Linked DNA regions of Nothobranchius furzeri. The protein of the gene in region 3 interacts with the protein of the main gene of each other region in a pairwise test. Links are inferred from orthologs where the notes say so. Each region holds a gene or a part of one and is shown on either strand. Other genes may lie near its edges.

Evidence for each region.
Region 1: the proteins of rpp30 (region 3) and rpp14 interact in binary tests that used the Homo sapiens proteins (3 or more experiments, as listed by UniProt). The link is inferred for Nothobranchius furzeri from reciprocal best matches to the Homo sapiens genes RPP30 and RPP14.
Region 2: the proteins of rpp30 (region 3) and hmg20a interact in binary tests that used the Homo sapiens proteins (3 or more experiments, as listed by UniProt). The two-hybrid records come from large-scale screens. The link is inferred for Nothobranchius furzeri from reciprocal best matches to the Homo sapiens genes RPP30 and HMG20A.

Annotation. Positions count from the first base shown.
Region 1 is NC_091743.1:78,986,199-78,996,831, reverse strand, and holds the start of rpp14 (ribonuclease P protein subunit p14), read left to right. Parts: upstream 1-5,314; 5' UTR 5,315-5,400; exon of another isoform or gene 5,401-5,439; intron 5,440-7,260; 5' UTR 7,261-7,287; coding exon 7,288-7,379; intron 7,380-7,462; coding exon 7,463-7,547; intron 7,548-7,633; coding exon 7,634-7,710; intron 7,711-7,787; coding exon 7,788-7,866; intron 7,867-9,430; exon of another isoform or gene 9,431-9,611; coding exon of another isoform or gene 9,612-10,469; intron 10,470-10,633. Other genes in the region: E3 SUMO-protein ligase ZBED1, read left to right, coding at 9,612-10,469. UniProt on the Homo sapiens protein: Component of ribonuclease P, a ribonucleoprotein complex that generates mature tRNA molecules by cleaving their 5'-ends.
Region 2 is NC_091754.1:44,443,428-44,453,970, reverse strand, and holds hmg20a (high mobility group protein 20A), read right to left. Parts: upstream 10,136-10,543; 5' UTR 10,015-10,135; intron 9,936-10,014; 5' UTR 9,822-9,935; intron 6,462-9,821; 5' UTR 6,443-6,461; coding exon 6,377-6,442; coding exon of another isoform or gene 6,370-6,376; intron 6,284-6,369; coding exon 6,074-6,283; intron 5,670-6,073; coding exon 5,537-5,669; intron 5,443-5,536; coding exon 5,405-5,442; intron 5,066-5,404; coding exon 4,990-5,065; intron 4,909-4,989; coding exon 4,693-4,908; intron 3,973-4,692; coding exon 3,840-3,972; coding exon of another isoform or gene 3,836-3,839; intron 3,750-3,835; coding exon 3,746-3,749; 3' UTR 3,462-3,745; downstream 1-3,461. UniProt on the Homo sapiens protein: Plays a role in neuronal differentiation as chromatin-associated protein. Acts as inhibitor of HMG20B. Overcomes the repressive effects of the neuronal silencer REST and induces the activation of neuronal-specific genes.
Region 3 is NC_091756.1:51,149,535-51,160,014, reverse strand, and holds rpp30 (ribonuclease P protein subunit p30), read right to left. Parts: upstream 5,683-10,480; 5' UTR 5,609-5,682; coding exon 5,527-5,608; intron 4,886-5,526; coding exon 4,827-4,885; intron 4,549-4,826; coding exon 4,426-4,548; intron 4,253-4,425; coding exon 4,181-4,252; intron 3,704-4,180; coding exon 3,614-3,703; intron 3,534-3,613; coding exon 3,417-3,533; intron 3,295-3,416; coding exon 3,265-3,294; intron 3,126-3,264; coding exon 3,088-3,125; intron 2,927-3,087; coding exon 2,847-2,926; intron 2,768-2,846; coding exon 2,693-2,767; intron 2,530-2,692; coding exon 2,486-2,529; 3' UTR 2,233-2,485; downstream 1-2,232. Other genes in the region: microfibril-associated glycoprotein 4, read left to right, coding at 234-330, 417-584, 1,610-1,863; nudt13 (NAD(P)H pyrophosphatase NUDT13, mitochondrial), read left to right, coding at 6,692-6,894, 6,969-7,111, 7,247-7,354, 7,434-7,540, 7,652-7,777, 8,010-8,121, 8,243-8,397, 8,627-8,824. UniProt on the Homo sapiens protein: Component of ribonuclease P, a ribonucleoprotein complex that generates mature tRNA molecules by cleaving their 5'-ends. Also a component of the MRP ribonuclease complex, which cleaves pre-rRNA sequences.

The DNA.
Region 1 (10,633 bases), on a different chromosome or scaffold from region 3:
AACTGCTTGGAAGGCAGCTATGCTCACCACTATACCACCAATGCCACGTAATTCAATGTGAAATCGTTATGATCGGAAAGATGAAATGACTGGTCTTTCTTGGGGTTTGAAGTTTTACATTTTCATTGTGCACTAAACTAATTTGACTTGCAACATCAGTGACTGCTGACAAAGAGTCAGATCAGAAACCGTTGTCTGTGTTCAATTTGATCTACATTAAGATGAAACTTAATCCACAGGAAGGCAACAAAATGTAATCAAAGAAAGACCTTTTGATTTTCAACATGACAGAGATGTCCACCCAAAAACCTATAGCAGTTCCAGTGCTAAAATAGTCTCCAACGCTGTACATTTCGTCAAATTCCATGACTGTTGACAGTCTGAGGCCCTAGTATAGCTTTAGTTCACTATAGCTTTTGTTCACAACACAAAAAATTTTTTCCAGAATTTAGTTCTTAAAGTCTATGTGTTGCAATAAATATTTGCTCTTAGGCGTGCTTGACTGCTTGCTGAATTTAAGACAATTGAGCCTAATTGTAGACGTTCCGGAAGGTCATTTTACACACCGATGGGACTCTACGCACATTTTTCTGGCAAAAGAAATCCAAAATCAGGACGTCAGTTGGACAATGCAAGTTCATGGAATGACTTATTCTATACAACTGTGCAAGTGTTCACTTGGTGGATAAAGAGGAAGAGTGTCTCCTTGATGGTCTAGTGTCCGACGCTTTCACCGTCGTGGACCGGGGTTAGATTCCCGGTCAGGGAAGAGTTTCATTTCTATACTCTTTATCTAATGTCAAATATCATTGTTAATCACATAATTGAGGAAATGGCTGCTTTAAGATAAATAATTAAAAACAGGTACATTTACACAATCAGTACGTTTGGTGATGTTTAGAATGGATTAGGAAATACTCTGCAGTCTGCTTAATTTGAAGTAGGACAGATGAATCTTTGCATTGGCCGGGAATCGAACCCGGGTGAACTGCTTGGAAGGCAGCTATGCTCACCACTATACCACCAATGCCACGTAATTCAATGTAAAATCGTTATGATCGGAAAGATGAAATGACTGGTCTTTCTTGGGGTTTGAAGTTTTACATTTTCATTGTGCACTAAACTAATTTGACTTGCACCATCAGTGACTGCTGACAAAGAGTCAGATCAGAAACCGTTGTCTGTGTTCAATTTGATCTACATTAAGATGAAACTTAATCCACAGGAAGGCAACAAAATGTAATCAAAGAAAGACCTTTTGATTTTCAACATGACAGAGATGTCCACCCAAAAACCTATAGCAGTTCCAGTGCTAAAATAGTCTCCAACGCTGTACATTCCGTCAAATTCCATGACTGTTGACAGTTTGAGGCCATAGTATAGCTTTAGTTCACTATAGCTTTTGTTCACAACACAAAAATTTTTTTCCAGAATTTGGTTCTTAAAGTCTATGTGTTGCAATAAATATTTGCTCTTAGGCGTGCTTGACTGCTTGCTGAATTTAAGACAATTGAGCCTAATTGTAGACGTTCCGGAAGGTCATTTTACACACGATGGGACTCTACGCACATTTTTGTGGCAAAAGAAATCCAAAATCAGGACGTAAGTTGGACAATGCAAGTTCATGGAATGACTGATTCTATACAACTGTGCAAGTGTTCACTTGATGGATAAAGAGGAAGAGTGTCTCCCAGATGGTCTAGTGGCTAGGATCCGACGCTTTCACCGTCGTGGCCCGGGTTCGATTCCCGGTCAGGGAAGAGTTTCATTTCTATACTCATTATCTAATGTCAAATATCATTGTTAATGACATAATTGAGGAAATGGCTGCTTTAAGATAAATAATTAAAAACAGGTATATTTACACAATCAGTATGTTTGGTGATGTTTAGAATGGATTAGGAAATACTCTGCAGTCTGCTTAATTTGAAGTACGACAGATGAATCTTTGCATTGGCCGGTAATCGAACCTGGGTCAACTGCTTGGAAGGCAGCTATGCTCACCACTATACCACCAATGCCACGTAATTCAATGTAAAATCGTTATGATCGGAAAGATGAAATGACCGGTCTTGCTTGGGGTTTGAAGTTTTACATTTTTATTGTGCACTAAACTAATTTGACTTGCACCATCAGTGACTGCTGACAAAGAGTCAGATCAGAAACCGTTGTCTGTGTTCAATTTGATCTACAGTAAGATGAAACTTAATCCACAGGAAGGCAACAAAATGTAATCAAAGAAAGACCTTTTGATTTTCAACATGGCAGAGATGTCCACCCAAAAACCTATAGCAGTTCCAGTGCTAAAATAGTCTCCAACGCTGTACATTCCGTCAAATTCCATGACTGTTGACAGTCTGAGGCCATAGTATAGCTTTAGTTCACTATAGCTTTTGTTCACAACACAAAAAATTTTTTCCAGAATTTGGTTCTTAAAGTCTATGTGTTGCAATAAATATTTGCTCTTAGGCGTGCTTGACTGCTTGCTGAATTTAAGACAATTGAGCCTAATTGTAGACGTTCCGGAAGGTCATTTTACACACCGATGGGACTCTACGCACATTTTTGTGGCAAAAGAAATCCAAAATCAGGACGTCAGTTGGACAATGCAAGTTCATGGAATGACTGATTCTATACAACTGTGCAAGCATTCACTTGGTGGATAAAGAGGAATAGTGTCTCCCTGATGGTCTAGTGGCTAGGTTTCGACGCCCTCACCGTCGTGGCCCGCATTCGATTCCTGGTCAGGGAAGAGTCTCATTTCTGTACTCTGTATCTATTGTCAAAAATCATTGTTGATGACTTAATTGAGGAAATGGCTGCTTTAAGATAAATAATTAAAAATAGGTACATTTACACTATCATTAGGCTAGGTGATCTTAAAAATGGATTAGTAAAGACATTTGAACCTAATTGTATAAGTTCCGGAAGGACATTTACACACCGATGGGATTCTAGGCAAATTTTTATGGCAGCAGAAATCCAAAATCAGGACGTCAGTTGGACAATGCAACTTCATGGAATGAATTACTATATACACATGTGACACAAGCATTAACTAGGTGGATAAAGCAGAAGATGCTCTCCCTGATCGTCTAGTGGCTAGGATCTGATGTTTCATTTCCATATTACGCAACTACTGTAAAAAATCATTTCTGATAACATGTAATGGAGGAAATGGCTTATTTAAGATAAATAATTACAAATTGGTACATTTAAACTATCATTAGTTTAGGTAATCTTAAAAACGGTTTAGCAAAAACTCCACCAACTGCTTGATTTGAAGTACAACAGCAGTTAGCAGTTCCAGAGCTAAAATTGTCTCCAATGCTGTACATCAGGGAGACACTGCTTCACATTATCAAATTTAGTTTTCAATGGTGTTTTACGGTCTCTTTTCTCTGTTCTTGGTGAAGTTTGATCCTCTGATGTGATGTTTTTTTTTTTTTTCGTTTTCCTGCCACTTTTTCAATAAAGGCAAATCTCTTTCGAGACGTGCTACCATGTTTGCACATGTTCTACAAATACGCTCTGATTTTTTTCATTCTTGGTTTAAATTTAATCCCTAACACGCACATCTGTCGGAAACTGTCCTGTCTTGTAGTTTTCGGTCAAATATTAAAACAGAATTGTTTATAACTTCGTGGATTCTTAGATTTTTACTACAAAGACGACAACTACGATTTACATATACGCCAGACGCCATCTTACTACAGGTGAAAAACTACAGCGTCGCGCGATATAGCTGTCATTTCCAACTTTTTTCTGATTGGTTATTTTTGAGCTGGCCAGTCCCGCCTCTCATGGTGCTCTTTGCCGAGAGTTAGCAGACTCAGTCTCTGTGCAGAATTAAACAGAGAGAGTCTGGCTTGCCAGGCTAACAGGCTGGTGCTAAAGAAGCCCAATAATAAGATTCTAACACAGACAAGGTGCTTGTGGTTTTTCATAGCCAAACCCTTTTGAACAGTTGAAATTATTGAATTAAAGCTTTGATCAATTATTCTGAGACATCTGAGAAATAAGTCACAACATTAAGTTTAAATCTAACTTTTGTCAGAGATCAAAGTCAGTGATTTTTGTTTTCTCTCCCCTAAATATCTACTGTATGAGATTGGTTGTCATTTTTGCAAAAACCACCATTTTGTTTTTGTTTAATTTTTTTAATTAAGAAGAAACAGAATAATTATCAAAAAAGTTTGGATTTATTTTTCAATGGGATGTTGATATTAGTGGAAAGTTATGTGAAAAAAAAATAAATTGACCTAAAAGTTATTTACTGGTACTTTTAGTTTCATTCTTTTGTGGAAATTCAGACATTGCTACAAATTGGCTTTGATTTCAGGTTTCCAATTATTAAAGGGCAGTTCCATCCAATTTTTCCACTGATTGAGCATCTTTAATCTGCTCACATTTTCAAACTACAACACCTGGACCAGTGGTTCCCAAGCTGTGGTTCGTGATCCACCAATGGGGTCCCCACCAAATTTGTGGGAATTCAGCACATACAAGTGCCTCGTGATTTTTATCTTGAAAGGCACTGTACAAAAGATCAGCTATTCTTCTTCTTCTACAACATGTTTGTACTGAGATTGTAAGGTTAACACACAACCAAGGGATGCTCAAGGACAGAAGACTGGGAACCACTAAACCTGGACCAAATTCTGCTACAGTGTGAGCAGAATCTGTTAAACATATATATTGTGATGTTTCAAACTGTAATTTGATTAGTGAAAACAGTCTTTTTGTTTTCTTTCTTTAATGTGAGAATTATTTATTTAAAATGTAGAAAATGTTGAAATTTATCTTGCCTGACCGGGCACATCTCTGGGTGCTCAGCACCCCTAAACCTCTGATGCGAGAATCGCCTCTGCTGATAGTCATCTTTTTGGACTGTGGGAGGAAGCCAGATCACCTGCGGGGAACCCATAAATGCACAGTGAGTACATGAAAACTCCATGCACAATTCGAACCTGGGACCTTCTTGCTGCAAGGCAACAGTGCTAACCACTGCATCGCTGTATAGCCCAAGAACTGAAATGGATTTAAATATTTTTTAGATATCATGTACAAATACCTAATTTATACTGTTTTATCTTCTTTAATATTTAATTTTTTAATTATTGTTTTGTAGATTGGATGTGCTAATGTGAGTTTACTCATTTGAGTACATCAGTATTGTTTTTTATTAAGTTATGTTTGAAATGATATCAAGAACAGCATTCGTTCTGTTCTATTGACGCAGACGTAAACAGGGAAGCTTTAAGCTTGGTTTATGCTTGAGGAATGCCAGTTCACACTCCAGATCGGTAGAGGGCGATAATGTACTTCACGTTGTAAACCTTTAAAAAAAAAAGTTGTGCTGCGCATGCGCTTTACATGAACCCTCTCTTCACATCCTGGGTGAGTTCAATTCGTTTTTGTTGGTGTTTGGCCTAACAGGTAATTCTACTTGCTTTAGTTCTGTTTTTTTCCGAACAAACGTTGACTTTAATTTGCTGTAAGTTCTTCCAGCGAGGCGATTTGTCCTTTCTGATTAAAACGGGTTAGCTTAAACAGCATGAAACATAATTAGCTTCCGTTAGCGTGTAAAGGTCCGGCATTACTCCTTTGGAATAGTAGGATGTTCTAGGAAGGTCCCGTCATTCTCGCCTCTGATTGGCAGGAAGAGCTCTCTCTCATACGATTGGCTATTTCATGTAACAATAAACCGTGTTCTCTCGTTGCAGGGTGTTCAATCTCTCCAGCCAGATTTTGAGGAGTTTAGTGAAGAAATTGTTAACTTCGTGCTATATTAACCATCATGTCCTGTTTTGCAACAAACCTGTTTGTTTCTTTTATAAAAGAACCTGAAAAACATCAAATGTGTAAATTTTGTTGCATTTAACACACTGTTAGATGACTTTATCTGTTGGCTCTTAAACACTGGGGTTATATATATTACTATATATAGGCCAGGGATATTCATTGTCGGGCCTGGAGGGCTGGTATCCTGCACGTTTCAGTTTTAACTTCAATCAGCAGGTAATTATCAGGCTTCTGCAGGGCCTGATGAGCTGCTGCGCAAGTGAATCAGCCACTGAATCAAGTGTGTTGAATCTAAAAACGTGCTGGATACTAGCCCAGCAGGCCCGGGATCTCCCTCCTTAAGGCTATCTTATGTCTTCACTTTCATAGGTTAGTGTTTGCAAGTTAGAACTAGAACACACATATCATCTGTTTAAATGTGCATTATTTAATAGAAATTAAATTCAAAGCTGATTAAGGTTTAGACCTATTTTTCATACGTATTCATTATTCTAGAATAGAAATAGTCAACACAAAGCTGTGAAAAACAGGGAGGTTTTATTATATTTAATTGCCAGGTTAAGGCACACATGTTTATCCTATTTACTCTGCTTTAAGAAGAAGCTTTAGAGCCAACAGATATAAAGTAATTGCTGGGTTTCTGCGTCACTAAATTAGGGCTGCCACAAACGATTACTTTAGTAGTCAGCTAGTTGCCAGTGACGATTAGTCGACTAATCGTGTCATTCATAAAAGTTTAGCTTATTGCACCAGGATGCTCTAATGCTGGGGTGTCAAACTCAGTTTTGCTCAGGGGCCACATTGAGGAAAATCTAGTCCCAAGTGGGCCAGACCAGTGTTTTTTTTTTTTTTTTTTTTTTGTTTTAATACGATCAACATAAAACAAAGCTGGAGCCTGAGGACAGTGTATCCAAAATAGTTAAAGCACAACATCACCATTAATAATAAAACACCTGAAGTGTATTTGAAAATGTGAAATGCAAAACAAAAAACCCAAAGAGGGCAAGCTCAGTGATTCAAATAACTGATTCACAGATCACATGGCTATATCAGTGTCATACATGTCTTTGACTCCTGATACCTGACATCTTTTAACTTTCACCAGTAGTTTAATTGAAAAATGAAAGCTTATTTTCAGACTTTACATTGTTAAGTCTGAAAATAAGGTTTACGCAATCATCTCGCGGGCCGGATTTAAACTGTGTGCGGGCCTGATCCGGCCCGCGGGCCGCATGTTTGACACCCCTGCTTAATATATCCATCATTAGCTTCTAGATTGCTGATGCTGATGCTTGCAAGGCCTCGTAAGACATCGCCTCGCAAGGCCAGGTGCCTTGACATTGAGAAACACAGAGAGTCTTTACAGCAATCCTCATACTTTGGACATTTGTCATTAACTTTGTTGTTGTTCTGATCATAACAGGTAATTACAGATTTGTGTGTTTTGGTCCACAGTCAGCTGATCTCTGAGGTTCTGTTAGAATGACATCAGTCAGAGAGAAGATTGGATCTTCTGGGTTCCACCGAACGGTGCTGAAGAACGGCTCGCCTTACTGCTATATGAAAGTCTGCCTGTTAGTCTCTGGTTTTTAGTAGTTTTCCTGTCTTTGGTGCATATCTTTGATCTTGTTGGTGACTTGGTGCATTACTACTTAAGGGTTTTACAGGATCAGGAAACCAGACTGAATGCAGTTGAACTGAAGAGTTTAATCATCACTGGTCTGAAGGATCTACATGGAGAGGTGAGCTAAACACATCTATTGTTATCAGAGCTGTGACTAAAGGCTGCATTCAGTTACTGAAATGCTTCTACACCAATGTGCTTCAGGTGGGAGCAGCGCTGCCCTTTGATGTGTTGAAGTTTGATGAAGGGTCTCTCACTGCTGTGCTGCGTGTTTGTAGTGGGTGAGCCCAATGCTGCTGCTTCAAACGTCTGACTAAATACACTTGATGGGGTCTGATTGTTTTGATATTTCTTTCAGAGGTCTGGTGAAGTTGTGGAGCTCCCTAACTCTGCAGGGTTATTACCAGAGCCAGGCCTGTGCCTTCAGAGTCCTGCAGGTCAGCAGATTTAACCTTTAGCTCAGTTATTTCTTAGATTTTAATTTGAATTCACCTGTGTGATGTGACCGAGGGTAAAGCCTGGTTTATACTTCCGTCAGCTCGAGTGTGGAGTCGCACTCAAGCATTGACAGAGGTGTTTCCCCTTCAGACTTCTCCATCACCTGGGGAGCGTTGCAAAGCAATTCCTCTACCTGTACAACAGAGAGCATAGCACCTTTCACCATTACAGTCATGTATCTGGTCCTAGATGGTGTGTTTACATGCTTTGATTTATGTCAGAGACTATTTAACATTGACAAATTTGACCCATATTCTGCTCCACCTCTTCACACTTGACTTCCAAATTACCCGTCATTTCTGTCCATCAATAAAATGCTTGCTAGTAGGGCTGCAACGCATCCTCGAGTAACTCGAATGATTCGAGGACAAAAAATATTCGAGGATTTTCCGCTGCCTCGAGGACTCGTTAAATAGACCATAGCTGAAAAAAACTGCGTTTTGCACGGATTCTTTGTGTTGCAACACCTGGTTACGTCACAGATTATACGTGCCATGCACTCTACTGCACAGCGCGCAGGCGCAGCAGTCTTTTAGTCTTTTCAGCTGGACAGCCGACTATGGCAGACGCCACGGAAATAAATGAAAACAAGCAAGACCAAAACGAGGGATATAGGAAGCGACCGAAGTTATCCAAAGTGTGGGAGCACTTTACGTTAAAAAGCAAGGAAAACGTCGTCGTATGCAAGCATTGCAAGGTGGAGCTAGCATACCACAACAGCACTTCTTCCATGCTGCAGCACCTCTTAAGAAAGCATCCGACTGAGGGCATGAGTGGACGTGCCGAGACCAGGTAAATAAGCTTTTATTTCAGGACGTACATGTTGACTCAAATGTAGTGTCAATAAAATACATTTATTTGTTATGAGTTAGTTTTAAAGTGCTGCTTTAAAATACATCTGTTAAAATGTATATTTTAAAAATTGGTTTACAATTTAAAAAAAACTTTGTTTGAATGATAGTTTGTTAAAATTATCCCCAAATTCCAGTTAATTTTCATGAATTCCCCTATTTCTTGTGCACAGTTTCTAATTTTAAATATTTCCAAAATTCCCCAGCATAGCCTTGCATGGAAATGTACCAAATCCTAATTGCAATTTAGGAATGTTTTACTTCACTTTATTTATTTTTTGCCTTTTTTTCAGTAAAACATCACAACCTGTCCTGGATAGATTTCTGCTGAAAGCACCTGCCTGCACCCCAGCACAAGCAGCTGTACTGACAGACCGCATTCTAAATATGCTGGTTACAGACATGCGCCCACTGAGCATGGTGGAGGATGCTGGCTTCAAAGCGATGATTGCTGCTTTCCAGCCAAATTATGCTCTTCCATCTCGGACCTTTTTCACAAAGCGGTTGAAAGAAAAATATGAAGACATCAAAAACAAGATGAAGAAAGCCCTGCAAGAGACTGACACCATAGCACTTACTACTGATATCTGGACAAGTGTGGCAACAGAGGCCTACATGGGGGTAACGTGCCACTACCTAGAAAACTGGAAAATTATGTCTCATTGTCTTACCACTATGCCCTTGGAGGAGAGGCACACAGCTGCAAACATTGCAGATTGGATTGAGGAGGTAATTGCCAAATTCAGCATTCCACCAGAGAAAATCAAGGCTGTTGTACATGACAATGGTGCTAATGTTGTAGCTGCAACAAAGATTTTGCATGCAAAGCATGGATGGGAGCACTGAAATGTGCAGGACACACCCTCAACTTGGTTGTGCAAAACACTTTAAAAAGCCAACAGGCTATCTCCAGGTGTGTGGGTGCAGCAAGAACTCTTGTCGAACATTTTAAGAAAAGTGAATTGGCAAGCACAAAGTTAAAGGTCAAGCAGAGGCACATGGGGACCAAAGAAAACATGCTGTTGCAGGATGTCTGCACACACTGGAACAGCACCTATGCCATGTTGTCAAGGCTGCAAGAACAAAGATGGCCAGTGACTGCTACATTGTCTGACCCAGAAGTGACCCAAAGAGGGAAACATTACCTGGATCTCAAATCTGACCAGTGGAGCCTGATTGAGGAGCTCAACCAGGTCCTTGAGCCCTTCCACTCTGCCACAGTTTTTATGAGTGGAGAGCAATATGTTACGCTTTCTGCACTTCCACATGTTGTTGACAAAATTAAGAAGTCACTCCAGAGTCAGAATCTCGAGTCACCACCTGTGGTGTCATTCCAGACTCATGCAAAAGAACAGGTCACAACAAGATGGAAAGACTTGGGTGAGTTCAAACCAGAGTCTCCAAACATCACACTGCTTGCTGCTTCTCTGGATCCCAGGTTTCGAAAACTCAAATTCTTGCCTGCTGACCAAGCATTTGGAGTCAAAAACGCATTGCAAACCATGGCACTTGCTGTCAAGCAGCAACTGGGGCCTACTGGATGTGGAAATGAAGCATCCAGCACAGCAGAGGGTGCTCCATCTACAGCGCATAAAGACAAGATGACCACATCCTTCCTTGACTCGGACTCCACCAGCAGTGATGAAGAGCAAGATGAAGAACAGCTGTCAAATGAAGCTATACAGAATGAGGTAAACATAAATAATGCTTTGTTTTTTTGCCCCTTTTATTTTGGTAACAATTTCCTATAAGGCAGTTCAAATGTTCTACTAGAACAGAAAATGAATATTTTATAATGTTGAATAAGCCAAAGACATTTTTAGATTTTGTTTGTTTGTGCTTTTTCCCCCAACTG
Region 2 (10,543 bases), on a different chromosome or scaffold from region 3:
AGCATCAACGGCAGCAGAACATCACTGCTTCAAAGAGAATCCATTATGGTCTATGGCAGGGGTACCCAAATTCAAACCTTTGATGTTGGGGGGGGGGGGGGGGGCGGGCTGGTGGACCAGGTGCCACAACGAAGGGGCCTAGCGGGCCAGACCCTTAAACACTAGCGTCAGCTCAACCCCGCCGATGCTAGAGCCAATGAGGGGTGGTGCTGGTGAACCTGAGGCCACAAAGAAGGGGCCTTGCGGACCACCTACTGAGTATAACTGGTCTGTGGAGCGTTTCAAACCAGCAGCAATGCGGCAATTTCCAGGCCCGTCCCAGAAGCGGCATGCTGCGCCGCCAGATAGGATCAGGTTCTATTTTTGCCGCGAGCTGCTTCTGAGACATGTCAATTTACACAGTTAACATAGAGCTGGACAGGAAATCACACACAGTTTCAGTGTTAAATCCCCGATAATTTTCAAAATAAAATACTGCAGCAACGCAATTTCAGATGTGGCAGCATGAGCGTCCTTCAGTGTCCCGACTGATCATGCACCCCGGCTACATGGCCAAGGCGATGTCTCTTTGGCTGACTGGTTAGCGTGCATGACTCTCACCCGGAAGTCTGGGGATCGAATCGCGCCCGGGACCTCGTTTCGTGCCACACATACAAATGAAGTTTACGTGTGACCCAAGGGCTTATTTACTCACAGCACCGGTCGGAAGTGCAGCGGTGTGATTTTCATGGCTTTAATCCTGGCAGTGGAGAGGAACAATATCATATATGACATCAGTGATAACGTGATTTCTTTCTTTTTGGTTGTTCGGTTGAACAAACCATGACCCGAAGTCTCGAGGGGCCTTGTGATCTCGTGAGTCCAGCGAAGAGCACAGCGAGGAAGCCATGCCGCAGCCAAGACTCTGCCAGTTTGAAAAGGATCGCTTTGAAGTTTGCGAGTAAACTGTTCGGCGCTACACAATTCTAGGCAGAATATTTAAATTTTAACTAAGATGCACTAAAGAGCCAAATTATTGACTACACGTGTCTAGACACTCCTTTATATAATTTATCAGATAAAATAAGTTGATTTGGGGGTGACTTGCTCTTTAAAGTCTGTTGTATCTCTACTAAAGACGGAGGACTCCCATAGCAGAACAAAAACCCAACTGGGTCAAACTCAGCAGTGATCAGGAACCGTCCAGACCCCCCACCCCCATCCCTTCTCTGGGTCTAGGAACTGCTGGAACCAGCTCATAGCACCCCCACTTCGAGGCTGCAGAGCATCAGACATGGAGGTGTTTGCAGGAATAAAACTCCCGGTTCTGTTAAAAGATGGATATGAAACAGAGAATGAAAGGATTGAGAAAAGTGCAGAGATGTTGAACCTGTTCCTCCTCATCACTTTCAGTTTTGAGTCCACATCAAAGAGATCAGGCTCCAGTTAAGCTCATTATACAAATTAGCTCAGAGACCAGGAGAGTGCATGTGAAGGATGAGACCCCAGTTTAAAAGTAAACAACATTAATAAGATGGGAGTCTTCAGCACATGAAAAAGTTTTACTGCCACTACTCCAGGGATGAACATATGAGCTCCTGGTCCTGTGCAAGCTGCAGCTCTAATCAGGAGAAGATGATACCTTTCAGGTTTCCTGCTCATCAGACCTGGTTTCTCCACATCTGGTTTCAGAAGGTCCAGTTCTGAAGTAGGAAACAACATATTCTGGGTTCTACTGGATTTCAGACTCAACACAGTCACTGATTTGACATCAGGTGAGGTTTAAAGTTTGTTCAGAGCTTTGAGGCGTTGCCATCTTAGTTGTTCTGCTCCGTCTACTCCATTGCATCATCCCGCCCACCAAACCGATAGAGCACTGTGCTTGGCATAACACAATAATGATTGGGCAAATGGTGACCCTGTGTGGCAAGACCGACAAGCAGAGCAAAACTTTTTATTGTAATCTCTATTTTTATACACTACGGTTTTATTTTATTATGTAAAGGCCTTTGGTCACCTTTTATGGTGTCGAAAAACGCTATAAAAACGTGATTGATTGATTAATAAGACCAGTTATAACCATTTGGAACCTGTTATGACCAGCTAGTACCAGTTATAATCAGCTAGAACTATTTGGAACAAGTTATAATCAACTACGAAGTTATAAACAGCTAGGACCAGTTATAACCAGTTAGTACCAGTTATAACCAGCTAGGAACAGTTACAACCAGCTAGGATCAGTTGGAACCAACTAGGACCAATTGGAACCAGTTATAACCAGCTAAGACTAGCTGGAACAAGTTAGAACCAGCTAGGACCAGTGGAACCAGCTAGGACTAGTTGGAACAAGTTATAACCAGCTAGTACCAGTTATAACCAGCTAGGACTAATTGGAACTAGTTAGAACCAGCTAGGACCAGTTGGAATCAACTAGGACCACTTGGAACCAGCTAGAAACAGTTACAACCAGCTAGGACCAGTTAAAACCATTTGGAACCTGTTAGAACCAGCTACTACTAGTTATGACCAGCTAGGAACAATGATAACCAACTAGGACCAGTTATAACCATTTGGAACCTATTAGAACCAGAAAGTAACAGTTATAACCAGCTAGGGCCAGCTGGAAAAAGCTAGGACCTCTTATAACCAACTGGAACAGTTATAACCAGCTAGGACAACTTACAACCAGCTAGGACCAATTATAACCAGCTAGGAATAGTTATAACCAGCTGGGAACAGTTATAACCATTTGGAACCTGTTAGAACTAGCTAGTACCAGCTATAACCAGCGAGTTACAACCAGCTAGGACCAATTATAACCAGCTAGGAATAGTCATAATCAGCTAGGACCGGTTATAACAGCTAGGAACAGGTGTAGGAGTCATATGTGTTGGTTTCATTTTCTTTCTGCATACCTGAGAGGAGGCTTGGCCTCATTTGATTGGTAAATTGATTGTGGAAGGACCAGCCTACTGAAGCCAATGCAGATTAGACTCGAGGTGGCTGTGACGGGACAAGCAGTTTTTTACTGTGTGGCGAGGACTGTGGCTGTGTGTAATGGACTCTGCGGACTGTCGTTGGGGCAAGTAACGTATTCATTGAAAACCACTTTAACTGCAGTGAATGGATCCTGGACTTTCTGGAAGAAGACAAATTAATAAACATCATCAGAAATAAACACAAGCTGCAATTCTTTTAAATGCACGTAAAGACTACCAACCGCCTCAGTAACCAGTGCCAGTGTATAGGGCATTGGTATTACAATGGTTATAATCAGTTAGGACCAGTTATAACCATTTAGAACCAGCTGGAATCAGCTAGGAACAGTTATAACCAGCTAGGAACAGTTATAACCAGCAAAGAACAGTTAGAGCTAGTACCAGTTATAACCAGCTAGGACTAGTTGGAATCAACTAGGACCACTTGGAACCAGCTAGGACTAGATTCAGTAACATTGGAAGGAAGTACGGGGACTAATGAGGTGTTTTGAACTCAATGAAAAGACATTTATTAAAAATACAAACATGTTTCAAACTAAAAAACAAACAATGGCACAAGTTGTTTATGAGAAACAGAACACTCCTTGTTGTGTTGGACCCAAACAGGAATTAACGAGTAGAACGCATCTTCACATGTCTACAGGCATGTCACCCAGGCGTAAACAGGTTTCATAACATAACGGTAAGTGAGACGCGTCGTCACAATGAGCTCATGGTGTTCAGCTGAGAGGCATGATGGGAGGAGTCGTCGTCAGACCTTCATTTGATTATCTGGTCCAACAACAAGAAGACACAAAGACATCAGAACTGGTTTAAACTGGGTTAGCAGTAAGCAGATGTGAGGCTCTACGGAGCGCCTACCTGTCCAGGCGGTTGACCACGTCTCTCACGGTGCTGATGAGATGCTCGTGCTCCTGCGGGCTGCTGACAACAACGCTGTGGAGCTTTTTCATGTAAGAATCAATGGTGTCAAGTGTGGGCGTCTCTCCGCTGCCTACAAACACCAGAAATAGTCAGTTCCCAAACTCCAAGTCAAGAGGTCACTGTGGGCCAGGATGTTCAGAGTTCCCCTCTAACTGTCACACAGCCGTACTGGAGTGATCTAACGAGTGTGATGCATTAACCCCGTTACAGTGACTTTCCACTGGATGCATAGGCGGTGCATAATGACATGTTCTGCCCTCTAGCTCCCTTTCTATGGGAAGCGTTTCAGATGGAAACAGCAGCCAAAAAATTCCACCCAGCTGGTCCTGTAAGGTCAGGAAATCATAGAAGAATTGCAGGACCACATGTGATTATAGCAGTTCACACGATAACAAGCAAAAAGAAAGACGGATGCATGTATGTACAAAGCTCTATGGTTTATTTTCTCTTCCGTTTACTCGGCTACGGAGGTTTCACAGGAAACTAAATACCTTTTTACTAGTTAAACAACTGGAAATCTGAACATGACTTATTTTGAAAGTGTCAGGATGTTTTACATAGCTTTTCACTTTCTGTCTGGCCAGATGTGAACTGTTGAGCTTGACGCTGTCTGGGAGCGTAGCGTGTAAAAAACTAGACGCCACACCCCTACGCTTCTGGGACGCTTCGTGGCCAGTGGAAGCAAACCCATCCACTACGCACCATGTTACGCAGCGCTTACGCGTCCGGTGGAAATGCTCGGTTAGCGGTCGTGAAGCAGAAGGGTAGCGCTGGCTGTGGCCATTCTCACCTGGCAGAGGCACAGAGGAGAAGCTGGAAGTGAGCGCTTGGCGCAGCGTCTCCAGGTGCTGATGGAGGAGCCCGTTGCGTTCCCTCTCCTGCATCACGTCCCCCTCCAGCCGCTCCACCGCCCCGCGCATGCTCTCCACGTGCTTCTGCAGCGCTGCGTTACGCTCCTCATACTCCATGTTGGTCTTACGCAGCTGACGCATCTCAGCTTCTCGAGCTGAGCAGGAAAACACACAAACAGGTTTGGGGACATCAGCCAGTAAACAGCGGTGGAGAACCAGAGGCTGAGATGTTTCACCTTTGCTGTGGTTGAGAAACTCCTCTGTGAAGATCGGGATGTCAAACACGGTCCGGTCTTTTCCCTCGGCATTGCTCTGTCATTAACCAGCAGACAAAAACAGGTCTGCTGAGTGAAAATGGTTGCTGCAGCCGGACTGAGACACTCGTTTATGTAAGTAGTAACTGAGTACATTTTATTTATATAGCCCGTATGTAAACAAAATAAAACAAAGTCATAAAAACATAACAATAAAAAACAGAAACTGATTAACTGATTTGCCCCTTCTGAGGGCCCATCAGACCTGTTCTCCAGTGTAAATGATTACACCACACACTCCACCAGTGACTCCAAAACAAACGTGCTCTTGTCTAGATTATGTGGATTAGATTTATTTGGTCCTCAGTGGAACCGGGTGTTGTGAGACCGTACTGACCTCATGAAGAGCCTCACTGGAAGCTTGGTGTCCAGAATCTGGAGAGGAAGGAGAAAACAGCTAATGATGTGTGTGTCTGAAGTGAGTTTTTACCTCCATCACACGCCACCAGAACACTTGGCCTGTTCTCACCCCCCCGGTGCCTCTTGCCCTTCTGCTTCTCCTGGACCTTCCTGGTGAAATGTTTGTAGGCCTCCGTCTTCTGGTACTTCTCCAGCTCTCGCATGTAGCGCTCCTTGTCTCGCTCTGCTTCGTCCAAGTATCGCTGCAGCAGAGGGTGGAGGAAGCTCAGCTGCAGTCGTCAGGGAGAGCTCTAAGAGCTCTAATGATCTGAAGACCCACCAGAGCCCAGCTCCATCAGACTAGAACAAGGTCAACCAGAGTCAGAAGCTCCAGCCTGAATCAGACACGAGGACCTCACCCTCAGCTGCTGTGTGTGTGTGTGTGTGTGTGTGTGTGTGTGAAGCTGTGGCCCACTTACAAGGGGTGCTTACTAGTGAATCCAGATGTTTTAACAGAAGGGACTTCAGAGTGACTGTGGCGCTAACCTAACCTAACCCTCCTCAGCTGTTTCACCTACCGGCGTGAAACCCGAAGAGCTCTGGAGGCCCGTGGAAGGTTTAAGGTTCACAGACTGGAGCTGGCTGTGTAATCCTGTCTGAGTCTGACCTGCTTCTCCTCTGGGGGCAGCTTGCTCCACTCGTTTCCCAGCATCCTCGTAATCTCGGGAAAGGGCACGTCTGGACGCTCCGCCCTCAGCTGCTCTCGTCTGTCATTCATAAAGCGGACGTAGCCCGTCAGCGGAGCTTTGGGTGCGTTGCTGTCCTTCATGGGCTTCTTCCTCTTCCTCCCTTTGGTCCAGCTGCCACGCCGAGGTTTCTGCAGAGAAACAACAGGAGGTGTGACTGGAAGGTCCTCGGTGCAGCTGACGAAGCTTTGTTGGAGTTTGAACTGGAAATGTCGACCTCTGACCTCCTCTCCATTCCTCTGGCTGCCGTTGTCAGCAGTGGCTGCGGGAGAGCCCGTCTGCTCCTCCATCACTTCTGGAAATGGAGATCTGACAGGACAGAGAGTAAGCGAGGGTTTGTATCCAACCCCAGCAGACCAGTGGTACTGGTAATCTGATTACTGACAGACTGGTGGGACACTAGCGCTGATACAAAAACAAAACAAGCTCCTCTCTCATGTGTCCCAAAGCCCTAAAATAAATGATGGAATGAAACGGACTCCAGCAGCTCAGAGAACACGTCTCACATATGAAATCATTCTGTTTGATTTCTTTGTAACAATAACAACAACAATTGTGTTGACCAAAACATTTCTGAAGATGAGTCGACCAAAACCGACGAAGCCTAAATGCTTTTCTGTCATCAAGGCTGAGACTAAAACTAAGATGGCCACCATTAACAGCACTGAGCCCACTGGGTATGCAGACGACCATCTGTGAACACAGATGGGCCACGACACCCTGACCCTGTCAGCTAACAACAGGAAACTGAGGCGACAGCAGGCTCACCACAACTGGACACAGAAGATTGGAAAAACGTCGCTGAGCTGATGAGCCTCGATATCTGCCCCAAGCTACAGAGAAACTAGCAAAGCTGATCAACATCAGAGCTGTTAACTCCATGAGTGTAAAAGAGGAGCCCAAGTCTCCGCCCTCTCCGGTCGGCTCACGGGTCTCCGGAAGAACAACAACAACAAAAAAAAAAAAGAACGCAAGTCAACGGAGCTAAAATGGTTATTTTCTAACCTGCTTTGCCGTACGCCCTGGATCACACACATGCTGTACTGCAGTCTAAATGAAAACTAATGATGGCGGTTTCGACCACGCCAGTCACGTACTTTGAGATTGATTAGCTTGTAAAAGTTCGTAACTAGCATGACTACATCGGCACGTCGCATATGTGACGCTACCGGCTGCTACGTACCACATGACCAGACTTATGGCGGTTCTTTCCTCCTGAGGAAAAGATTCGAAGTTTTCTGAACTTACAGCCATTCTCCCCATTTTCCCCGTGTCTGGTTCAATGACGTCACTGTGGTGAAGCGCATTTGTAGTCCTGGACTTATTTTCACACAAAAGCTAAAATAACGTTCCCCCCGTTTGAGAATAAGCACGTTCTTGGTATCAAGATGTGTCTTCATCATAAATCATATGTGAAATCCATGGAACAGAACAAGAGGCATTTTTGCATTTGTTTTGTTCCTCTGGGGACCCGTGGTCTGGTAGGGCGTGGCTAAGGCTCCCTGTTGTTTGTGTAAAAGTTCTTCAGTACAAGGTTTAATGACAACTATCCAAAGAGGCAGAATTTGCATTCTGAACCATTTAAACATGGTCCAAAGGGAGACCTGCATCAAACAGCCACACCTGCCATGGAAAGTCAAACCAGTAACAGGGTAAATAACAGCACAGACGCTACATCTCATGTCATTACCAAGTTTTTGCTCTTTGTAAACGTGTGACCTGCAGGTTTATAACACTTTATACACCCAGCCATCCCATCATGCAACACGCTACAGCACCCGACGCGTCGTCTGACAAAGACTGGTAATTACATTAACTGATGCTGTAAATAAATAGGTCTTAAACAGATAGAAATAAGTTGCTGATGCTGATAGATAATAATGCATCTCTCCGAGGGACTCGTAGCTGCTGTACTTAGTTGTTTTTATTGATCTTTATTTATATAAATACACTGTCCAACTCTTGCGGTCAGTATTTGTCAGATATTTTTACCAGGTTGGGTCTGTATTAGTACGCTTCCATGAGTTAAACCCCAGCCTAAACCCTGTGGGTCATAAACTATGAGCAAGTGTACTGGCTCTTTTATGCTCGGAGGTCTTTTTGAGGATCTTGTTTTTTTCTTATTTATTTTTTCCTCTGGTTGGGCCCTGTGCTGTTTTATGAAAGAACAAATAAATTGATATTGATTTAAAAATCGTATCAATCGAGATCTAAATTTCAGTCAAAACAATGGTGATCATCATTTTTGCCATAATGGAGCAGCCCTTTGTGACACCTGAAGGACCTGACACCAGAAATAGGATTTGCTCCTCATCCAAACTGCTCCCAACAGAAATGTCACTGAGTCGTTTACTTTTGTTATCAGCAGGAATGATGTCACGGTTCTCCTCTCAACTAGAAACTATGTGGATGTAAAGACAAACAACTGAGAGAGCTAACCAGCTACCAGCACTGAACTCTCCTTTAGCTCAGCCGCTACACGCAGGACCACCTCAGGTAAAACCGTGTTCTAGCCTTTGACCTCTTCTGTTAAACTCACACACTGCCTACTGAGAATTCAGCTCTTTCACCAATACCATCAGTGGTGCTTGACATGCACCCCTGAAGGTTTCCAGACGTCCCCTAAAACTATGCAGCAGCGCCTCCTGATGGAGCTGAGCTCACAACGATGTCGAATCTGGACTAAAAAAGCTCCAGTTCCCATTTAGACACAGTGAAGAGTCAAATACTCCAAATGCACACTTCTAGTTGAGCTGGCCACAAGAACACATCTTCCAGCCCTGAGATCTGAGGAAACCCGATAAAGTTGTTTTATTTAACCAGGAAAGACTCTTGTGAGTACAAGTGTCGTTTACGAGGATGCACTGCAATTTAAGATGCAAATGTGTGCTAATGTGGTTCTGCATACAACACGGGGTGTTTGTAGGCAATAATACTTTGTGTAGATAACCATAATGATATAAGAGCATCTGCGGCATCAGTGAAAAACCAGAAAACTTTCCTCACAATTTAACTCTGAAAAACCCAGGTAACATTTTAAAATCACATTTTCCTCAAAAAGTTGAATAAAAATAACACAATCATTTAAAAAATAGATCCGATGTACACACTTTAAACAAAATCCTATCATTTTAACGTTGTTAAAAAGCACAGTACAGACAAAACGAACTATTATGGGAAAAATGAGATATTTAAACATTTTTTGTTTATTGTTTCGCCTGTAACAAATTTATTAAATTAAGGCTTGCATTAATGTTAGTGACCGATGTGATCGGAATCACACTTAGGTATGTAAAGTGGGCAGTAATGCTACTAAACACTGTTGTCATTTAAACACAAATAGAAACAAATACAAGGACTGCTAACAGTTAGCGTCATGTAGCACTTAACGCTACGGCTAACTAACGCAACAAATTGTCAAAATGGGCTATTTCCTTGTTTGTTTCACTTTAATCAAATATCAAACACATTAAATTATATTCAACTGAAGCTATAATCTCGTAAAGTAAACGTAAAACCGTTAAGCTAGTAGTGCTCCTAGCCAGACCAGCTAGCATTAGCGTTAGCTCCACCAGGTCTAGTCTTGAAGGTGCAGACATAAAGGTGCAGCTTTAATACAGAAAGAAACACTCACTTATGTATTTTAACGCATTAAATGCAGATACTGACCTTGTTTATCGCGACCCGTGGCTGTTCCTGCTCATTTATTTCCCAATCAAAACAATACAACAACAACGCGATAGAGCTCTAACAGATAGCGAAGCTGTTGGGTCGTGGTTCCGCCTGAGTAAGCAAATAAAGGGTCACATCACGCAGTTAAACACAAACAAATAAATAATTAGGATGTGCAAGAAAATCACACCTTATGGAATTAAAGAACGAGAGCCACAAAATATGTTGATAGGGATTCGTCGCTGAAAAGCTGGTCTATACTTTCTAGCTCTGTGCTCTCTCGCTCTTTGTGTATTTTTACTCAGAAGACTAACCAGGCTCTGCTGCCCTCTAGCGGTGGCGCTGCTCCATTACAGTGATGGAATCATTCAGCCCCCCGAGAATGGCGAACTTCATTAATTAAACTAAGGAAGCAAGCAGCAGCTAATGGCTTGTGAATGTAATTAAACAGATGAGATGGAGAATAGTTTATTTTGTTATGGATTTTATGCAAAAAGCAGGAAAAATACAAACTCAACTCTGCCCAGTTTTGTGTGGGTTTCAATAATCCATCCAAACTGAGAATGTTTCCCACACTGGAAGCCAAAGAAAGAGTAATACATTAATTCGAGTTTAACAGCTGAGATAACTCCAGCAGCATTCTAATTGAAATTTTGATTAGAGCCTTATTCCAATTACCCAGAGTTATTCCACACAGGTTGGACACATCCATCCACTCA
Region 3 (10,480 bases):
TTTGTTGCTTTTTTATCGCTCCTTCTCATCAGACCTCTGACATTAACAAGACATTTTCATCCACACTCTTTGTGTATGATCTCTTTTCTGGACCATTCTGCGTTGGCCCTAGAGATGGCTGTGAGTGAAAATACCCTGTAGGTTAGCAGTTACTAGAATATTGGACCATTTCTGACCAGCGCCCTGCTGAAGGTCTCTACCAACACGTCTCAGTTCAGATCCTCTTATCTCAGGTGTTCCAGAGGAGAATGGATGGTTCTGTCAACTTCCACAGGAACTGGGAGCGTTACAAGGTTGGCTTTGGGAATGCTGCCGGAGAGTATTGGCTTGGTGAGATCTGAACATCTAAACAACAATCATGATGTTATATCAAACTGATGTGGGTTCAAAGTTCTGGTTATTTTTGCTTGTTTCAGGCCTGGAGAGTCTGTTTCACCTCACCCAGCTGAAAAAGAACGAGCTGCTGGTCGACATGGAGGACTTTGAAGGGAGGAAGGTGTATGCTCGTTACTCCTCCTTCTCCATCACCCCTGAATCAGACGGGTATGGAGTGAATGTGTCTGGATTTGTTGACGGAGGAGCAGGTGGGTCTCAAATTAGGAGAAATGCTATGTTCATGAAATGTGACTGTGAACATCAGCGGGTGAAAACATGTTTGTGCACAATTATTAGGCATCTATCAGTGTGCAAATTTATCAGGCAGCTATATCACCCCTTTAGTCTCATCTGTAAACAGACAACACACATTTTCTAAATAAACATTTATGACGTAATGAAATCAGTGACCAACACAGCCACGCTTCTTTTCAGTAGCAGCAGTGAGACTCCCTGTTAGTCTCTGGAGCTGACCTTCTCTCTGTACAACAGCAACACACCGTTCAGAGAGGTGAACAGTTTCCCTCTCTGGTGCGTTGTCTGTTTAAGGGCCCACAACTTCTCAGTAAGGGTTAGGTCAGGCGAAGAAGGGGACCATGTCGTTATTCAGTCATCTCCTAAAGCATGAGTAACAGAAAAACAATGTAGTGAAAGAAGCTGGCACTGTCTTTAGGGGACCGGGTCTCAGGAGCCTCCACAGGCTGGCCAGGAGGTGGAGCATCTTGGTGGCCCTTAACCCCTCATCATGATGCAGATATGGACCCTCTCCGTCCATCTGGTCCATCACATCTCACACAAAACCTTTGAAAAAGCTGTCTTCAGATACTCCTTGGTCATGTCTAGATGTTTCACTTTGTCTTGTTCAGTGGTGATTGGGCTTTAAGGAAATATATCTTTGTTGTAACGGTTGCATGGGTTAGGGTTAGCGCTTGGAAGCTAGTTTTAGTAGCGACAGGTAGTGGATACAAGGTAGTGAATGAAGGTACAACAGTACAACAAACTTTGCAAAGTGCAACTTGCCATTGAGACAATCAGATGATTGCATCACTATGTACAGGTTAGCAATGTGAGAGGTGTGCATACACAATGAGCTATATTAATGTAACATGTCATTTAAGAAGCTGTGTGGAGTCCCGTGTGTCAGAGACCAGGTACTGGGTGTCCATGATTCTCTGCAACCAAAACATTCTGCTAATTTAATCTTTTTTTTGCTGTATGATTTATTTCTTGGCAGGAGACACACTGAGTCGTCACGATGGACAAAAGTTTGCCACTTTTGATAAATACCAACATGCCGGACCAGACAACTGTGCCAGACAATTTTTGGGTGCGTTCTGGTACTGGAGATGCTACTATCCAAACCCTAATGGAGTTTATTTGTGGGGGGCTGATGGATCCAAATATGAGGTCGGTGTGGTCTGGTACAGCTGGAAGGGCACTACCTACTCTCTGAAGAGTATCAGCATGAAGATCCGACCCATCAGGTGAAGCTGCAGAACAAACATCCAACATTTGTAACAGTTGAAATTGTCTTTGCTGCATTCTGACAATAAACTACTGATGCGATCTGATGTCTGTGTTAGTCAGATGACAGGTGTATGTTTGAGTCTCATTGTGTTGGACTGAAGGAAGTTTTTGGAGTTCTGATGTGGATGCTACTGCAGAAGATGCCTGGCAAATTACAGATTAAGACTGAGATTACAAATCAGGCTGCAGGAACAGAAAATATACTGTGGAGAAAAAAAAAGCAAAAATGTTTCAGCAAAGTAAATTTCAGCATCATGTGATTTAGTCCAAAACAACTTACAGATGAGAATGTAAAAAAGCAGTTACCGTTGAAGCAAATAATAAATCATACACATTTTCACAAATTTTTATTAAAACGGGAATACGACCTGCCTCTAGGCGAAAAAGTAATGTCCCCCTAATTCCAATATTGGGTTGTAACACCCTTTACTCAACAAAGGTTGGAAATAAAAATTTTACATGAAAACAGAGGATCTATTTTTCTCAGAAACATTCACATTCTTCCATTTATGAAGAGTCAAAACGGGACATTTTAATTTAAACTGTTAATTGATTCAGCTGCTTTTAGGAAGGCCCCGCCTCCTCAGCTGTCAGAGGGTTTCATCCTTTTGGCAGCAGGAGCTTCACCTGTACACATGAACACAGAGAGGGACCTGGGTGAAACAAGCATTACTTTGTTTGAGTCTGATGAGAAACCAGATGATGAAAAAACATCAGTTGGAGTTCTGAAGGACAGATCACCATCGCCTCCAGCCTGATTCAGCTTCAGATAAATGCAGTGGAAACTTACTGTCGGCAGAGTCCTGCAGCGCCTCCTGCTGGGTTTTCCAGGTGTGCACAATGCCGCTGGCTGTCGACCTGGTTTCTGACAAATGAACAAACAGTGTGGTAAACAGTCTGAACCAACAGGAAGCCCGAGTCTGCAGAACTTCAACAGGATTTACCCGCACGCAGTAAAACAGATCTGCAGGTGGACGAGATAGATTCTTTAGCATCTCGGTTGGACAAACCAAACAGCAGACCTCTGAGAACCAGATCAGGAACGCAAGACATGAAATGTGTTGTACAACACTACACACCAGACACAGTTCTGTGAAAACACACACGATGGTCTGTTCTGATATCTCACAGACTGCGGCAACACTGAGCCCTATGTCAGATTAATGAACAATGGTTAAAGGATACAGGTTGGCGATGTCATATGGTCCTCTGAGCTCCCAAGACTGAAAACACAAATATCAGGTCAGAGAAGTACGGTGGACAAAAAGGGCTAAAACTCAGTTATTAGAAATGTTCTGATTTGGTGAAACAGAACCTTTAGTTAAATTCATGTTTGATCCACAGACGTAGCTGATCACTGACCTTGTCAGCTGCACTCGACAGGATCACGTTCTGAAAAACAGAAACAGAGCTCAAGATCTCACCTGCAACGTGATGTCACAGAGCTTATGTCAAATAACAGCATAGTGTAAATTACTCTGCAGCTAGCCAATCAGATGCAAGGACATGCATACCTTCCCTTTACAGCTCTCCATCAGGCACACGGCGTTGGCGATGGTGTAGCGCCTCATGGTAGAGTCTCTGATGGCTGCAGCATAGGATACCTCAAATGCAACGCCTCTCTCGATGGCCTGAACTTACACAGGTTCACACATTCATTAAAACACACACACACACAAATAAACAAACAAACAAAAGCCTTGGTTGTCACCGCATTGATCGGCGCTCTCTTGAAGAAAAAGGGTAGCTTCTCTGTCACTGGGATGCAGATGATGTCGATATCGTACAACGTGCAAGCTGCCTGAATAACACACACACACACACACACACACACACACACACACACACACACACACACATAATACACATACTTCAGTAAAAATAGAGTGCTTTCCACTCAGTCTGTTTCATACAGGTGTAATTATTGTACAGCTGTGTTTTCCAGGACAAATTACAGCTACTGCTATTACAACCACAGTTAGTTTCTATTTTTTATAATGTTGTGTTTCTTGAAAACTTTTCCATTCAGTGAAATTGCAGTTTAGGTCCTGTTGTGTTTTCTAATTAAATGTTGTCAATTTATTATTTTTTTGTCTTTTTTAAACTTTTCTTTTGTTAAATATCCAGTTGTGTTTCAGATGGTCTTTTGTTTAGTTTTGTTGTGCGTTTTTCCAGTAAGTTGATTTTTTAAAGTCACATATTTCATCCATCAACATTCCTGTAGTCAGTGAAAGCATCATCCTGTTGGAGAGATGAACAGAGTGTCAGTGAAGCTCACATGGAAGACTTTCTCAGAGCTTGAATGGAGGGCGATGAGGTCGAAAAATCGAAAAGCTGGAGAGTTGGTCGGCTGTGAGCACGCACGCACGCACACACACGCACGCACACGCACGCACGCACACACACACACACACACACACACACACACACACACACACACACACACACAAAACAGGCTGTGGCATCACATCATACAATCCATTTCAAGATTATTGATCCCTTAGCTCTAATTAGACAACTCACATAGTGACTGGCGTCAGACATCACCAGCGTCAGTCTGTTCAGCACTCTGATTGGACGAGAACGGCCCTGCACCATGGGCAGCTTATCAAAGATCTCATTGATCGGCTTTGGTGAGGGAATTTCCTGCAAAGACAAAATAAACATACTCCCAATAATAAAAGTTTGAAACAAAATGTAAATTCATTGACAATCAACTGATTGATTCAGCATCTGCTTAACCATAGAGATCAAGTGAATGCTCGGAGATCAGTTTTATAAAACCCGTTTTGATGTTTTACCATTTGGATGTTTCTGTTCATAAGAATGAATGAGAATGTAATAAAGTATCAAAACGCAGCCACATCAAAGGCTTCTATCTGACTCCATGCTGTTCCTCAATGCAGCGCAGTAGGTAGTCTGACCTGTTTCTTCTTGGCTACGAGCTCAAACACATAGTTGATGGCGACCGTGGAATATCCAACTGTAGGAGGGGAAAACAAAATCCCAGTTAATCCCTTCAGTGAGGTTTGCATCATCCAGGTTCTGATTCTGGATCTGTGGTTGTGTAGGGTTTAGGAAATTGAGTGCTTTAAGAGCTCTGTTTGTGTGAATCAGGTGGATATCACGATCCTGTCACAGTCACTGATGTAAATACTCCAAACTACTGAAGATCAAGTAAACATCTGATATCTTTCTGTTTCCTGTCAGACGTAATGATTATGTCTCAGGCTTTATCCTCAACAGTTATTGTTCAGTTACGCACGTGCAAAGGGTCAAATGGACAACAAAGAATGCTTTGTTATGAAATATTGTTCCTAATCAAAAGTACATAATCCAAGGCGATGTTACGGGTTTGTGGGTTTTAGATGCAAACAAGCTGTGATCGATTATTTCTCTAATAAACGGATTCAACTTTTCCCACAAAATCTAGTGATAAGGGTTGTTCTTAGTGATGTTATAAACAAGCATTATCGATTAATATCTTAACAAATCAAGTCATTTACTGACAGTGTTTAACTGATACCAGAGCCTCATCAGCCGAACCAAAACCAGCTGAGTTACGAGGCGGACCAACTAAACACAACACTAGAAAAGGTCTGGTTTAAGGTCGAGAATACTCACGATGAGCAGCTGTTTCCACCAAACTCTGCAATTGCTTTATATTAGACGAATACATCACGTTTAGGTCCATAAACACAGACATGGTACCACGAACCTATACAGCTCCACATATAGAAAACCGCAAGGCTTGCTGGGAGCTGGAGTCTTGTTCTCGATGAGTGAGTGACACGGGCTGAGGCTGACACAGAATATTTTGTATTACCGCCACCTGCTGGTGGCGGAAGCCCCAAGCCCAAGAACGACAAAAGAAGAAAACCAGTGGATTCTGTGATAAAGCTAATCTTTTTTCTCAATTTGACATGAACCTGTTTGGATATTTCCTCCTGGGAAGACGTATCTTGTTTTAAAGTGACTTAAACACACGCGCGCGCGCGCGTGCGTGCACGCACACACAATATGACTAATTTAAGCATACATTAGTAACAGAGGTGCATTTTTGTTTTATTATAGAAAGTATTTTAGTATCACTTTAATACCAGGACAGACAAATTACAAAGAAATCAAATACTTTCATTTTTCATTTTCTAAATTTTGACTAAAGTTCAAATCAATCATATTTACTGCTTTACACTAGCCTGGCAAGCCAGACTAAATAAATCTGTTATTTAAACTTTGCAACGCAAGAGGTCTAGTAGTTCACTAGGTTATTTTTATTTACTTTGTTGCTTCCAAAGAACTGCAGCTGCAGTAACAACAGTCTGGCAGCAGGGGGCAGCCGTGCCAAACCGCTGCTCAGGGAACAAACAGCAGCAGCAGAAGAAGAAAAGGTCAGAGGTCAGTGAAAAGTCGAAAATTTACTGCAGACGTCTGAGATTCTCGCGCTTAAACCGAACCAAAGTGGATGTTACACTGCTATAACAAAGCGGGTCAGCCTGAACTCTGAGCGGGTTTTTGTGTTCAGAACCACTAGCCTGACACGAATCTATAGTTTCAGTGTAACCTAACAGAAACGAGCAGATTTACAGAATCCCTGATTATTAAACAGGGCATCCTACCGATCTAACACTTCTGCCTGTGAAATAAATCTGATGCAGTGTGAGAATAATTGTTGGAGGTCACAAGAATAATTATTCAGAAAAGTGTATTTAAATCAGACCTGATCAGACTAGTTTGAGTGGAAAACTGCTGCTTATGACTGGTAAACAGGTTAGTATCAGCTTCATTAATGAACATCTTGCAGAAACATAAAAACAGACTCTGTGTGCAGGCTGAGGCAGCAGAACCACACCAATCCAGTTCAGATCAGTCTGGCCTAATCCAGCAGGTCCGGTCCAGAATGGCTTCCCTGTTAAGACCTCTGAGGATTTTCTTTCCCGCCAGATGCTGTGTTCCGACCCGTTTCTACTCAGGCTTCGTGTCCAGGATGAGGTTCTGAGGCTTAGACATCTTATTTATTAATTGTTTGGTTGATCTGCTGATCATGGATGGATGTTTCTGTTCAGATTCCTGAACAGTCTGAAGGAGTGTGATGAGGCGTGTGTTGCAGCGCTGCAGAACGCTCACATTTTCCTGTTTCATCGGTTGGTTCCACTGCTGCAGCAGACTGGCCGAGGAAACTTATCTCCAGTCTTTCTCACCTACTCAGGTACACAGCCCAAGAACCAGAACCCACAGACTAGCGAATCCAGAAAGTCAGGGACAGATCAAGATCTAAGACTTCAGTCAGAAGAGGAAGTAGTAGAACCTTCACTTTCAAACATCTCTTGTGATTATCTTCCAGATGTTCAGTCTGTCTTGCAGAAACTTGGTTCTGACGAATCCCTACTAAAAGAGTCCATTCTGGTTGGCTGTTCAGATCAGAACCAGGCTCAGTTCTGTCTGGATGTTGGTAAGAACCTGGTAATAGGTGAGCATCAATTTGAAATGGCTCTGAGTTCTGGTTCTGGTGCATGCGTGATACGTTTTAGGAGAACTGGATCAGGCAGCAGTAGCAGAAGAATTTAAAGGTTGCTTCATGGACCTGAGGAAAGCTTTCTTCCTTCTGAATGGATCAGGGGCGCCTCTAGTGGCCAAGGTGCGGCTCTACAATGGGACTCTGGTGTTGTGTTCTTTATGACTGTTCAAAACCACAGCATCTCATGTCCACTGATCTGTGTTCATGTTCTGACATCTGCTTGTCCCACAGGCTCAGGCTCTGCTGCGCTGGCATCAGATTAACAGGTTCTGTGGTGCTACGGGTCAGCCGACCCAACGGAACCAAGCTGGTAGTCAGAGAGTTTGCAGCAGCAGCTCCATCATCTACTACCCAAAGGTCCAAAACTTCTCGGGTTTCTGACTAAAGGCTGAAAAGTTTTAAACTTGTTTCTGAGTGCTTTCAAGTTGGTTACTGACTGGTCCTCATCTAATTTCTGATCCTTGTTTAGTTTAGGACAGGCTTTAATCTGCATTCTTGTTAGTTATTTCACCGTTTTATCTCTAGATTCTAACCATGTTTTTCTGACTGGTCTGTGCTTCTGATAGGTCATGTGACTGTTTTCCTGCAGATGTCTCCAGTGGTGATCGTCCTGGTGTCTGATGGGAAACGGTGTTTGTTGGGCCGTCAGTCATCCTTCCCTCGGGGGATGTACAGTGCTTTGGCCGGTTTCTGTGACATGGGTCAGTCTCACCTGTGTCACCTGTTTACCTGGAGTACAGATCCACTCTACGGTGAACCCATAATGTGTGTGTGTGTGCGCGCGTGCGTGTGTGTGTGTGTGCGTGTGGCTGATCTCTGCAGGGGAGACCCTGGAGGAGGCTCTATGTAGGGAGGTGGCAGAGGAAGTGGGTGTAGAGCTCCAGAGCATCTCCTACAGCTCCTCACAGCACTGGCCTTTCCCACACAGCTCTTTCATGCTGGGCTGCCATGCTACTGTTAGCCCCGCCCACACTCAGGTAGCACCCACTTATACAAGTTCCAGTTCAAGGTTTACATGAGTACATCTGAGACAGGGGAGTCAGGATGTGCATGTGTAGATTTTATTCAGTAGAAACGTCAAATAGGACAAACTCTTCAGGGTCTAGAAAGGTAGAAAACCCAGGACTGAGTGCTGAGGGACACCTGGACTGCAGGTACCTGCTATATGTAACAAATACTTATGACCTGTTGTGGTGTCTTGTCCAGCTGAATGTTGACCTCTCTGAGCTGGAGGACGCCCGCTGGTTCACTGTGGAGGAAATCTCCAGCGGCCTGCAGGTGAAGACCACACCAAGGAGAGGTGACCCTCCCAGCTTCTGGCTGCCTCCCAAACACACTCTAGCCAATCGCCTCATCACAGAGTGGAGAGACCGCCAGCGAAACAGCAAGGACTCAATGGGATGAACATGGCAAGATGCCGACAACTTGTGCCTGACAGAGATTCATGAAAAACAGTCACAGGAACACATTCCTTGTGTGTTCCTCATGTTCCTGAATCATAATCCCAACCTGTGTGCCTGAGACTAACTGAGACACTAGCTGTTCTACTGGTAATTCATAATCTCAAAACCTTTCACACATTTTGAAACAGAAGTTTCAACGTTTTTCTCGCAAATCTGACATTGTTTGATATTTCTGAGTCTCCTGAGCAGAACCAGAACATCTGCTGTTTCTGTAAAGAAGATTTAAATCCTTTTTCATGTGGAGAGAATTAAATGGCTTGAATAGGAGGGTGTCAGTGATCCAATTTTTACTCTTATTTTTGGAATGTATAGATAGACCTCATTTACATACAGTGCTGCTTCAACAGTAAAAATAAATAGGAATCATGATTGGATCCAAACTGTTTCATGAAAAAGTGAGGGGGGCATGTTCACCCTGTCCACCCCATAAATAATGTCCTTGCTTACATTTTATTTTCAACACACAAAAATGTTCATTAGAGAAACCTGAGTTTTTCATGCAGGCTGAACATGATAGTACTCTCCTACACCTATCTGCTGCATTAGCTTCTAACAAGAAAGGCTGTTCTTGGCTTAGCATCCAGGAAACAGCAGAGAACGTCTCGGCTAGTAGAAGCTAACTGTTAGGACTACTCCACCACACAGCAGAACTCCTCCAGGCTTGTTATTTTTGGAGATAAAACATCAACATTGCAAGTCAGTGGTAGAGTTGCTTTGCGTCTGCGGAGAGATGTCCAAATATTAGGAATTAAGACTCCAACATCTGCCGTCTGCAGCTCAGCTGTGATGTAGCTCACTGCTAGTTCCTGAAGCTGGTGCACCGTTATCCCCCCCCCCCCCCTCCAGGAATATTAAAAAAATATATATATTTTTAATTTTATTCTTGACTTAAGTTTTAGTTAATGTATTTTATGTTTAAATAATTTATGTTTAAACATCAGTAAAGTTGGAAAATGTCAAAGAACTGGAATAAAGGTGAGAACAGGAATGAGGGATCCAGATTTTATTAGAATGTTTTATGTCATGGTTTATATCTGCGTTTCAGATTAAGCTGGTTGGGGTGAGGTTCAGACTGGTGGCATTATGAACAGAGAAAAGTAATCTCAAGTATTTATTCATCATATAGAGTCAAAATATACCCAAATGTTATTTTATTTCACAAGCAATTAAAGTTTTAAAGAGTAAATCAGTCCAGTCCTGCAGCTGGCCTGGTCCGATGGGTAATGTGGGTATAGGTAGGAAAAATGTTCCTTGGTTGTCTGCTGCGGTCTGATTTTTCTCTGTTATAAACTGTATGTTATTGTCATGTGTTAAGTGCCTCTTGTGACTGTGCTGCAAATCCAGTTGCCCAATTTACTCATTTACTACGCCTGTTTGCAAAGAATTTTAGCCTGGCAAGCAAGACTAAATAAATATATTATTAAACTTTGCAAAGCAATAATTTTGTTTTGTTCACTTGGCTAAAAAATTTGAGAACAGAGAAACTTTTCAGACTAAAACTAATCCCAGACTCACTGCTGATGTAGCTAAATTGGTCCTACACACAAAACACAAATAACTCACAGCACATCATTTCTGAAGTTGTATGGTTCTCCAT